2 linked regions of the Caenorhabditis elegans genome follow. The protein of the gene in region 1 interacts with the protein of each later gene in a pairwise test. Each region holds a gene or a part of one and is shown on either strand. Other genes may lie near its edges.

Region 1 (6,066 bases):
AATCGAATTTTTGAGCTGAAATTTGAGAAAATCTATAAAAATTTTAAAAACTTTAAATTACAATTTTTCAGCTGAAAATAGCCCTAAATTATGAAAATGGGTGAAAATCCTTATAAATTGGCTGAAAATCAGGAATTTGCTCAAAATTGTGAGAAAAATTGCGGAAAATCCATATATTACTGACAGCTGAAAATATTTTTAAATAAAGGGAAATTTTTAATTTTTTTTGCTCAATTTTGTGGAACTCGGATATATTATGACAATATACTCCGGAAAATGGAATTTCAAAGCCGAAAAATTGAAAAAATCACCAAAAACAGCTTGAAATTGTTAGAAACTTGATAATTTTCGCTATCAAAAATGGAATTTTAAAGAAATTGACTAGAAATAGCCAAAAAATTTGGAAATTTTGAATTTTTTTCATGGAATTTCTACACAATTTCTTGAAAAATGTAATTCAACGGATTTTTTGCAATTTTTTATGTTAAATTCAAGTTTTTCGCTGCTTTTCAACTCAAATTTTCCTGTTTTTCGATGATTTTTTTTTTGTCGATTTTAATTTTTTTGCACATAAAACCGAACCATTTCGAACAGCATTCCTCAATGCCGGAAGAGTATTCTGAAGGAATGGTAAAAGATGCGGTTGAGCCTGAGATTTGAGCACTTGTTGCAGATTTCGTGTAAACTCTTCAGCCGTCGTTTCCAGATAAATTACGCCCTGAAATATCCGAATTTGTCCGGTTTTTATCGCGTTTTTCGCTCAATTCCTCACTCGAATTAGCTCTTTGACACGGGCGGCCTTGTCCGGCATTTCTGGATCATCGTTATTCGACAGATTAATTAAAGTTTTCAGAAAGCGGACGCATTTTGTCACGTTTTTGTCATCTGAAGCAGCGGCGGCCGCCGCTGCAGAGTTTTGTGGAGTCCCGGGCGGCCCTTGTGGAGCCATTGGCGATGGTGACTGAAAATGCTGCATCTGCTGTTGTATAGGTTGACGAGGCGGCTGCATTTGATGGTTTTGAGCCTCTGAAAATTGGGATTCAAATTTTTTTTCTAACTTTTTTAAATTTTTAAATATTTACGGGGTGCTTCCACGGGTTCCGGAGCCATTTGATGAGCATCTTGGTAGTCGACTTCCTGCTTTATTTGCGGAGGGGCCTGGAATCAAAGGAATAAATTATTGTTAGTTCTTTTTGTTGTTGTAGAAATTTTGAAATAAAAAAAAACAATTACCGGCTCTGGTGTGCTGACTCCTGGCGTTGATCGCTCGCCGATCGCCTTTCCCTGAACGAGTCGAAATCTGGGAAGACTCATGTGTGCTGAAAATGATATTTCTCTCTCAGAAATGTGACAAGGTTTTGAGTTTTCGTGTCGATAATTTCGACGCCATAAAAGAAGAGTTCATACAAAATCGATAATTCCCAGGGTTCAACAGTGTGTTTCCTTGCTATTCCTCCCCACTTTCTTTTGTTTTATTCACATTTTCACATTAAATAGCTAAATTTCCGCAAAATTAGCGGAAAACCCCCTCCGCAACACAGTTTCATTTGAAAATTTACCGGAAAATAGCGGAAAATGGTCGCCTTTTATACTGCCAAGAGTGACCGTACTTTCGGTCGTGGCGAGACCCATGCCGCATGTTTGGAGGGGTGCGTTGCGGCTCGCGTCGCGGTCGCCCGCATTTTCAACTGCGGGAATTTGCGAGATTTGAACGCGATTCTAGTCTAGCTTGCGGTGATTTTTCAATTTTTTAATGATTTTTCAGCGTAAGAACTTTTGAGTTTAGTGGAAATATTGATTTTTGTGATATCACACTCTGAAATACCCAAATTTTCAGTCAATGTATTGTTACATTTCGAAATTTTTATTCAATCTAGTAACAAGCCTACACTTTATCATCGCTAAATAGGATTCTCCATTGTATAGCAGTTCATTCGAATTCCATTTCAAAATTATTGTAAAATGTAGGGGTTTTCTTCTCTAGAATATCCTCCAAAGTTCAACGTGATGTATTGCTGAAATATTTCTTCATCCTAACATGTTCGTTAGAGTCTTCTGTGCGAGGCTTTTCTTTTGATAATGTTTTTTTGATCTGGAAGGTTCCATATTTCGTTCTTTTCCTACTTTTGTCATCTATTTGACCTTCCTTTCATTCAACCTTCCTTTGATAGTTGTATTCTCGTGATTCTCATTCCATTCTTGCGTTCACATGACTGACCCTTTTTATTTATAATTTGTTTTCAGAATGGGTATTAAAGGCGACAAAAAAGCTACCAGCGATCAAGCGCGACTTGCACGACTCACACTGGAAGGAAATTCCGGAAATGAGGAGGACATACAGTTTATGATCAAGACGGTAAGTCTCCAAGCTGGAAATGACGCTTTCCTGAAAATAGTGATCTTTGCATCACGCGAACGCTCGCCACACACCGACATGATGACGCACGTGACTTTGTTGTTTTGAACTTCTCTAGTGTCCGCTTTCAGTGTCAATAGGAATTTCGAATCGATAAGACGGGGCCAGATGGCAAATAAAAGGACAAAAGCAGGTGTCCGCGCTTGAGATGGTGCAGCGAGAGTAAGAGTACCCAGATGTCCTACTCATTTGGGCTAATTAAAGTGTTCGCGCATTCCCAAGAGGGGTTTTTTCACTGCTCATGTCTTTTTCATTTTCAGATTATCGAAACCACCGGATGTACACAAGCACAAGCTGAGATAGCGCTATTGGATACTGACAACAATCTTTACGGCGCAATCGATCACATTCTGGATGCTGGAGATAAACTTGACTCGTGGACTGAACAGAAAGGAGCCAAAAAGGAAAAGAAGAAGCCGGAAGAGGGCAGTTATAACAACAGAGGATTTGTAGCAAGAGGCAGAGGTTCGTGCTTGATTGAAATAGATCAAATATTGATATGTTTTTTTCAGGTGGAGGCACCGGTTTCGTCGATCGAGGAGGCCGCGGGCGATCCAATGGAGCTCCAAGAGAAAGCCGAGATAATAATCGGGATAACCGTGATAATAAGGAAGGAGCAGCACCACGCTCGACTCGAGGAGGATTTGAAAAACCGTATGTTGGACGAGGTGGAAGAGGTGGCGCCAGAGGTGGATATTCTCGAGCTGTTGCTCCATCATCAGCACTTGAGCCAGATGCGTTCACTGCTGATCTTGATGAGGTAAGAATTTTTTGAAGAAGGAAAATGACGAAACGTGTTTTTTTTTCAGAATCAGACTAAAGTGGATACCACAGTCACCGAAGTTCAACCACCAGTAGAGGAATCCGTCACCGCCACTGTTCCCACATCTTCTGCGCCGGCACCGATCTCATTTGCTGCAGTAGCAGCAGCTGCCCATCGCAAAGAAGCACTCCGAAAGCACCAGGCACAGAATCCTCAACCAGCAGCTCCGCCAAGGAGGAGTCTCTCCCCACAACCTCCACTTCCGTCAGTTGCACCAGTTAAAGAAGAGCCAGCAGCAGCGCCAGTATTTTTCGAGCCAGAAACTTCGCATCAGCCGGAGAAAGAAGATGGTTTCTTCCAAAAGTAAGTTGTTCTGTCCCTGTATTTAGATTATTAAAAATTTAATTTTCAGTGAATCATCAGTTTTGGCTGAGGAGCAGACGCCTAATGTGTCGACTCATCACGATGAAAATGTACAAAGCACCCCAGAACCAAATCAAGCATGGACCACTCAACTGAAGACGGATCTTGGAATAGGATTGAGTGAAGCACCAGGACTAGGATTATCTCCAATTCCAAGTGCAGCACCAGTCCAGATTATTCCTGATCCTGGAGTGGAATTTGTTGGCACAACTGCACCAACGAACATTCATGACTACTCATTTGGATTTGTTGAGGCTGCTCCAAGCCCACAGCTTCCTTCTACTGAATCCTCCGCTGCCTCGATCTCAAATGCCAGTGAAAATATATTTAACTCTTCTCGTATTATGCCGAAACAAGTTGAGGTGAGTTAAATTTGTTGCAAAGACGATTTATTCTAATTCTCGATTATTTTTCAGCCAGAAAGGACGTCAATTCCTAACGGCGATTACAACTTAAAATCGACTTCACCTCCATTGTCATATGGTCAATCTAACAGAGGATTGTCCTATGACACTTCGTCCGCTTCATATCAACCAACGGACAGGATGGCGCCGAACAAGTTCAACAATTCTGGACCACTTCCAACACAGCAATCTGCTCAGCAGCACCAGCCACAGCAGCAGCAGCAACAAGCCCCACAACAGCCAGTGCAGCAGCAGCAACAAACTCCACCAGCTCAATCACAACCGACTGGACATCCACAACAGCATCCACATATGATGTTCACTCAACAACTCCCATATGCACCATACATGAACAACTACATGAACATGTACAATCCAATGCCAGGAGTTCGAGATGAGCAATATACTGCTGCTCTTATGCAATACGGAATGGGAGTTGATCTTACAAGCTTGCTTCCAACTGCTCCTCTGTCACAGGCTGCTTCTGCGCAACAAGTGCAATCTGGTCAACAACGAGAGACTCATGGACTTATGGACTTCAATAAGTTCGGATCTCAAAGCTCTCGGGATCAGCAGCCACAGCAGGCGTCGAATGTTGGACCACCACCAGGGTTCCAGGCGACGAACTACATGCAGCAGCCAAACTTGTCGTCGTTGTTCATGCAGCAGTACTCACCTGCTCCACACCAGTTTACTCCATTCATGAACATGATGCCCAATGTTGGAAGCAGCGCTGGAGGTCGTCAACTCTACGGACAGGATGACGAGCGCAAGAGTTACGACAAGATGTCTGGATCGAAGCCGGCAGCTCAGCAGAATCAACATTCTCAATACCAACACAATGGTGGAAATCTTGGAAAATATGGCATGAATAAGCCGTACAACTGGAGTAACTAACCGGTTTTCGAAAGTTCTCAGTCAGCGACTTTGCTCCCCCTCCCTCTCCCCTCTAAATAATAAAATGATCTGTTTTATTTTCACATGTTCTTTATTTTCTACGGATTTCCAAATAAATGTACCTGATGTCTAGGTGTATCTATAAATATGCCTCCTCATCGGGCTTTCAGCGTAATGTCATGTGCACTTGTAATCGGGGCAACGTCCACACTGGGTAAAGCCGTCGTGAGAAGACTCGCGTTCACCGGCTACAAGGTCGCCGCCGCCGCAGACTGTCCGAATAGTGTGGGAAAGGTTGCAGAGGACAATATAAAGGTTTAGGCAGATTTTCAGAACTTGACAAAGAGAAATTCGGGAATAAATTCAGGTTGGAGGTGACGTCACAGCTTTCTCATTAGACGTGGCAAATGCCGAGCACAGGAAGGAGCTGATCACGAAAGTGGCTGAGAAGCTCGGCGGTCTGGACACTTTAATTATAGTTCCACCACAGAATGAGGTGCTCGGCGAGATTATTGAGACATCCGGCGAGGATTTTGATAAGGTTCGAGAGTGCTGAAATTTGAATTCCACGTGGAAAATTGACCTCGAAAAACCAATTTCAGCTTTTCGCCAACAATCTGACAACACCGTTCCGTCTTTCGCAAGCCGCTATGTCGACGCTCGCCAAATCTCAGTCAGTTTTTGGGTCTCGCCGCGAAAATTTCAGATATTATTTTTTGCTGGTAGAAATTCGAAAAATTCAAACTGTCTTGAAAGCCTATTTTACCGATAGAATCAAAATTATGTTTCTAGATTTTCGTGCCTGACTCATGCCTGCCTACCTAAACCACGAAAAAAGGGAAAAATAGGTAGATAGGCAAGTAGGCATGAAATCGTGCCTACCCTAGAGATCATGCAACTTGAAAAAATTGTAGTAAAACAAAAAAAGGATTTTCAAGAATGTTAATTTTTTGCTCACAAAAATGCCGAGAATAGGCGGTAGGTAGGTAGGCACGTAGGCATGAAGTCGGTGCCTACCCTAGAAATCACAAAATTTGGAAAAAAAATTCAGAAAACAAAAATAATAGTGTTTTCATAAATATGATTTTTTGCACGAGAAAAAATGCCGAAAATAGGAGGTAGGTAGGTAGGTACGGTAGGCATGGAGTCGTGCCTACCCAAAA
Region 2 (5,008 bases), on another chromosome or scaffold:
AGCCATTCAAGAAACGTGTGAGCTGAATCTCCGTCTTCCGGCTTCTGGAAGAGTTACATTGCGAAAGTTTTAGAAAAAATTCGATTAAAACAATAGGGATTATAAAGATAAACTCACGAATGGCGGTTTCTTGTTCTCCTTCCACTCGATTTCGGTAATTTCGGTGCTCGGTGACTCAGATTGCAGATGATACGACTTTGTAATTACTTCGTTTGTGAAGTACTCATTCGGGTCAAATGTCATAATTATTTTGAATCCACTGCGAAGATCTTCAAATTCTTGCACTTCAAGATCTCGCAGAGCGGCTAACAAGTCCTCTTGTTCTTCCGGAATAGCAGTTGAAAGAAGATGATGATTGAGAAAAGCAGTCTGCCAGAAATTGTCGATTTTTGTTGTCAGCTTCTTTCTTTTTTCATAAATCGGAAGACGTTTCTGATTGAAAATCTGCTCGACTTTCAAAACTTCTTCGGCAGCGTTTTCACTCATCACATCTAGTTGGTGCTGAATGGCGTCTAGTTCGATTAGCTTTTCCTTCACGGGACCAGCTACTTCGGATCGGAGATTTGGGAACTCATCGGCATTTTTCATTCGCTTTGCAGCCGGCTCTTCGCTCATATTTTAACTGAAAAAATTGAAGATTAACGGCAAAGAGAGCTTGTTTAGTAGAACAACAAAAGGCAGGGCGAGTTTGTAAAGCAAGTGTTCAACAGAATAAGCGCAAACGCACTGAAAATGCGCAAATAGTGTTGACTGGCGCATATTTTGAATAGAGCCTAGACACTTTTGATTTAATCAAGTGATTGATCAAGCTTACCCACAATTAACAGTTTTATAAATATCGACAATTTATGACCTAGTCAAGAACGCGAAGCTTAAAATTTAAAAAAATAAATGTATTATTATCGGTTAAACGGTTGGGAAAAAACTAATTAACATGCATGCATATAAAGTCTTTAAAACCGTAATGTTCTCATATTGAGAACAAAGCTAACTTGAATTGCAATATTATTTTGCTTTTTCATGGTACGTACTTAGATAGTTTTCGTGTTGGAACATATAACCTGATTTTCAATAAATTTGAAAATTGAATCGATCAAAAAAATTTACTACATCCTGCAATGAGGATCAAGAAGGAAATTTCGGATAAAAATTTTAAATGAACAAAGAAACGAAAGAAAAATACGTACGGGCAGTATCGGAGCCATTGAGAAGAAAGAAAGATAGAAAAAAAGAATCACAATTATGATCCGTGGCAGGTGCAATTTATTTTGAGATTGGGGAAGGGATTAGTGAGACAGAAGGCAATCGGGAACTCGAGCGGTGAAAATTGGAATACATTCAATGATTCGATGAATTACAATATACATCACAAGATTCGATATTAATTTCGAGAATTTAAAATGGGAATGGGCGCTTTTGACGATTGGGCCAAGTTTCTATGGGACAAGAACACGTCGACTAAAACTTATTATATTCACAAATGCACGCATTATTAGTTAGTATGGGGGACACGAATATTGAAAGTGTTTAAAAATTTGACAAATGTAGAGAAGTTGTTCACCACAAATTGAGATGCTTGGTCATATTTTCGGCCAATTGATCGAATCCTGGCATTGGAGAGAATGGTCCGTTACATGACATCATTGGATCAGTTGCGACAGATTTCATCAGAAGAGATTGAGCAACAGCAGAATTTGCGAAATATGCAGCAGCGGCAGCTGCGGATGCTGCATTGAGTGACGAAGAACTGAGATCCTGAGAAGGCGTGGATCCAGCAGATGAATATCCAGAAACTCCTCCAGGAGTATTTTGCTTTCCGAGCATTCCGAACGAGCCAGCATTTGGAGCGGAACCCAAAACCATCGAATCGAGTGGACTAGCTGGCCGATGTGCCATATTCCAAGCGTCTAGAGCAAACATCGATGGATCCAATGGCCAGCGAGACGGTGGATAGGTCATCGCACCTAAAACAGAGGTCATTAATTGCAACTAGCTGCCAATTTTTACCTTCCGCGTCATGCAATTCCTTCGTTGGTAGCTCATATCTTGGACCACGAGTACTAACAGGAGTTGGTCCTAGTGGCAATTTAGCCGCTGGCTCATCTGGAGTTGATGGCCTGGCAAACATTTCTAAAGGATGCTGAATGGCAGAAAGCGGGGGAGCTGCAATGCGACCATTAGTCATGATGTGCTGCTCCATTTGATCACGAATGTCAGCCAATGCATGGCGTTGAGAAACCTGAAAATGTTTACAGTGAGCAAAAATACATGTTTTCTTCTGACTTCAAGAAGTTTATCAGCGCGAATGTATGCGTTTGGTCCATGATCGGGATGAATGAAAAGGCACCGTTTCCCGTATGGGCAGAGTCCTGTAGTCGTATATTTGTCACAGAGTTTCGTTTTATACTTATTGTTCTGCAGCGGCTCGACGCTAAAAATTGGAATTAACATAATTTGTTTGCTTCATTCTTACAATGTTGGACGAAGTTCCTCCTCTCCATGTGCAAACCGGCAGTTGTCTGCGAAAGAACAAGTCTTAGATTCGAGCCAAGCTTGGCAGATCACAGTCTTGTATGATTCTGGTTTCTGCATTCGGGCTAATCCGCGGCGTCTAGGATCAAACTGTTGAAATGGAGGTGCAACCTGGTTGTTCTGGGGAAAACTCTGAATCGCGCGAACTTGCATCGATTGAATATGTTGGTTGCTGAAATGTAGTAAATTGAAGATATTCAGGAAATTAGCCAACGCACAATGCAATATCTTCAAGCAACTGCTTTTTGATAGCAATCAAGTTAGCAGTTTGAGTAACCAAATCTCCAATCTGGGCATTCGGATTAGTTTGAGACAAGTCCTTAGCGTGATCGAGTGGTGAAACGGGCAAAGTTGGAACGCCAGCGAGGGAGCTCTCGAGATGATGCCTTTAATAACATAAAATTACTTTTTCATTTGAATTTTGTTAAACTCACTCATCGATCTTCTCGTTGTTTTCACCGTTAACGTTCATATTGATGCAGTTGAGTGGATGTGAATAGTGTAAGTAATCGGGTGCAGGGAATGCTTAACAATCAACACCGGAGATACTCGATTTCCGGAAGATGTTGCGAGCTGTAAGTTCTGAAAAAGAAAATCAAATGATCCTACTGAAAAACAAAAACACGTTACATAAAACAATACTTGAGTGCGAACAAAACAGATACGAATGGCATTTATGAGAAAATATCACATTTTGGCGCCGGTGCACAATAAAAAAGTTTAAAAAAAAGTTTTTAATATAAATATGTCAGAATTTCCGGCCGAAAAGTAATATTTGAAACAAGGAATACTCAAGAAAAGCCTGAAAAATGGTTCCTTCATATTACGCGGGGGCATAAACTACGGTCGCACTGTTTTCACGTGTGCGATTTAAAATGATGTGCGTCTTTTAGGAGTACTGTAGGCCAAAAGTTTTCACGCCTATAACTGCTTGTAGTGAACTGATATGTTATTATAATCAAACAATTTATGCACTAATTTAAGTTAAAAAAAAACATATTTATTTTTTACAATCAAAAAATTATAGCGACAAACCCGTGTGAAAAATCAGGAATCTTTAAAAAAAATGAATGGTTGAAAATATCAATTAGAAACTTCAAGTTCATCTTCGATTGAAAAGGTACAACCTTCGAACATCAATATACGTCCAAATATACGAATAGATGAAGAATATTTCAAATGCACCAAATACCAGCAATGCAACTCTGAAATTGATAAAATAGTATACCCTAGGTTTCCTTTTTTTTTCAAAATCCCACCTTAATAAAATAATATCAACAATTTTATAACTCCGATCTTGTCCATTAACCTCTTCTCTAATTTCATCAGGAACTGTGATTGTCGATCCGATTACCGCTCCTGTAATCTCTCTTTTTCCAATTAAAAACTGTCAAATTTGGTCGTCCGGTTCACAATCTCTCAATATTTGCGAAACTGATTAAAACCACACCGAAAAAAAAACTTCGCTCACCAGCATATGCAAAAAACAGAATCGTATTCAAAACCATATATGGTAGTAAAAATTTGGGTCTCGCACGGAAAACTGCCATAATAAACATTAAACTGAAGGTGAGGATCATGGTGATAAGTATGGAGCAGATTACTGAAAAATCCATATTTCTAAATAATTCAGATTAAATTTATTTAACTGTACCAATAAATTCAACATAATTCTTCGGTGTTTTTTGAATCAATCTTATTAATCCATAAACGTAAAATGCAAATAAGAAAATTGCATTGAAACTGATTCCAAATATTGCAACTGAAAACATATTTTTTAATATAAATTTTTCATCGACTCCCTTAACATTCTTGTTACCCTGTTTTTTATAAATAAATAATCCATCGAAAAAAATAGCCTTGTTATTTATTTTGTGATCAGTATTTTTAGGTTTGATAACACTTGTAAAACAAACAAAACAAAAATGTAAACAATTTTATAATGATTCTCATGTTATTTTTGTTTTCAATTTTTCTATTATTAAGAGATAAGCTTTAATGTGTCAAAAATCAAATAAAAAAGAGAGAAATAATGCCTGCCTGCCTTCACCTCGCGCGCCTTCTGTACACGCAAACGTTGTTTCTTTCATTTGTTAATTTAACTTTCATCAAATAAGATGATAAAATAAAGATAATTGTGTAAATTAACACTGTGAGAACAAAATAAGTACATAAGATATGAAAAAGTAGGCAGGCATAGGTAGGCGTGTGGGAACCTAGAAAATAATCCCACTTTCTCTCGAATTAATTAATAAAAACTTCTCAAACTAACTTTTATGAACACCAAAATATCCACAAAGCTTCGTTGGTTTAGGCGCTGTTGGCATTGAAAAATAATTTTGATCCGTTGATAATTTATCAGAAATTGTAGACATTGTGATGAAAGTGTTGGAAACTTCTGCAAATTTCAGGAATTGAATAAAAAAAATAAATAGGAGGCTACAAATCACTGTATTTGTTTCAATGATTATGATAC

What was found. The genes of interacting proteins can lie anywhere in the genome.
Region 2: the proteins of pqn-59 (region 1) and oma-1 interact in a two-hybrid assay, tested with the Caenorhabditis elegans proteins (one study listed by BioGRID).

What each region holds. Positions count from the first base shown.
Region 1 is NC_003279.8:378,081-384,146, reverse strand, and holds pqn-59 (Prion-like (glutamine/asparagine-rich) domain bearing protein pqn-59), read left to right. Parts: upstream 1-2,244; 5' UTR 2,245-2,245; coding exon 2,246-2,356; intron 2,357-2,676; coding exon 2,677-2,881; intron 2,882-2,928; coding exon 2,929-3,176; intron 3,177-3,225; coding exon 3,226-3,542; intron 3,543-3,591; coding exon 3,592-3,964; intron 3,965-4,018; coding exon 4,019-4,903; 3' UTR 4,904-5,076; downstream 5,077-6,066. Other genes in the region: taf-4 (Transcription initiation factor TFIID subunit 4), read right to left, coding at 583-718, 773-1,026, 1,083-1,158, 1,234-1,314; R119.3 (DeHydrogenases, Short chain), read left to right, coding at 5,078-5,218, 5,271-5,444, 5,506-5,576. UniProt on the Caenorhabditis elegans protein: Antagonises the activities of multiple heterochronic microRNAs such as lin-4 and let-7 miRNAs. Modulates gene expression and cell fate specification during development. Plays a role in, but not strictly required for, the formation of stress granules.
Region 2 is NC_003282.8:8,887,082-8,892,089, reverse strand, and holds oma-1 (CCCH-type zinc finger protein oma-1), read right to left. Parts: upstream 3,115-5,008; 5' UTR 3,005-3,114; coding exon 2,967-3,004; intron 2,919-2,966; coding exon 2,751-2,918; intron 2,705-2,750; coding exon 2,474-2,704; intron 2,432-2,473; coding exon 2,284-2,431; intron 2,240-2,283; coding exon 2,008-2,239; intron 1,965-2,007; coding exon 1,558-1,964; 3' UTR 1,091-1,557; downstream 1-1,090. Other genes in the region: spr-2 (Suppressor of presenilin-2), read right to left, coding at 1-44, 118-615; C09G9.5 (MARVEL domain-containing protein), read right to left, coding at 3,635-3,737, 3,792-3,891, 4,004-4,135, 4,187-4,294, 4,805-4,930. UniProt on the Caenorhabditis elegans protein: Zinc-finger RNA-binding protein that binds to 5'-UA[AU]-3' motifs in the 3'-UTR of maternal mRNAs to suppress translation in oocytes and embryos.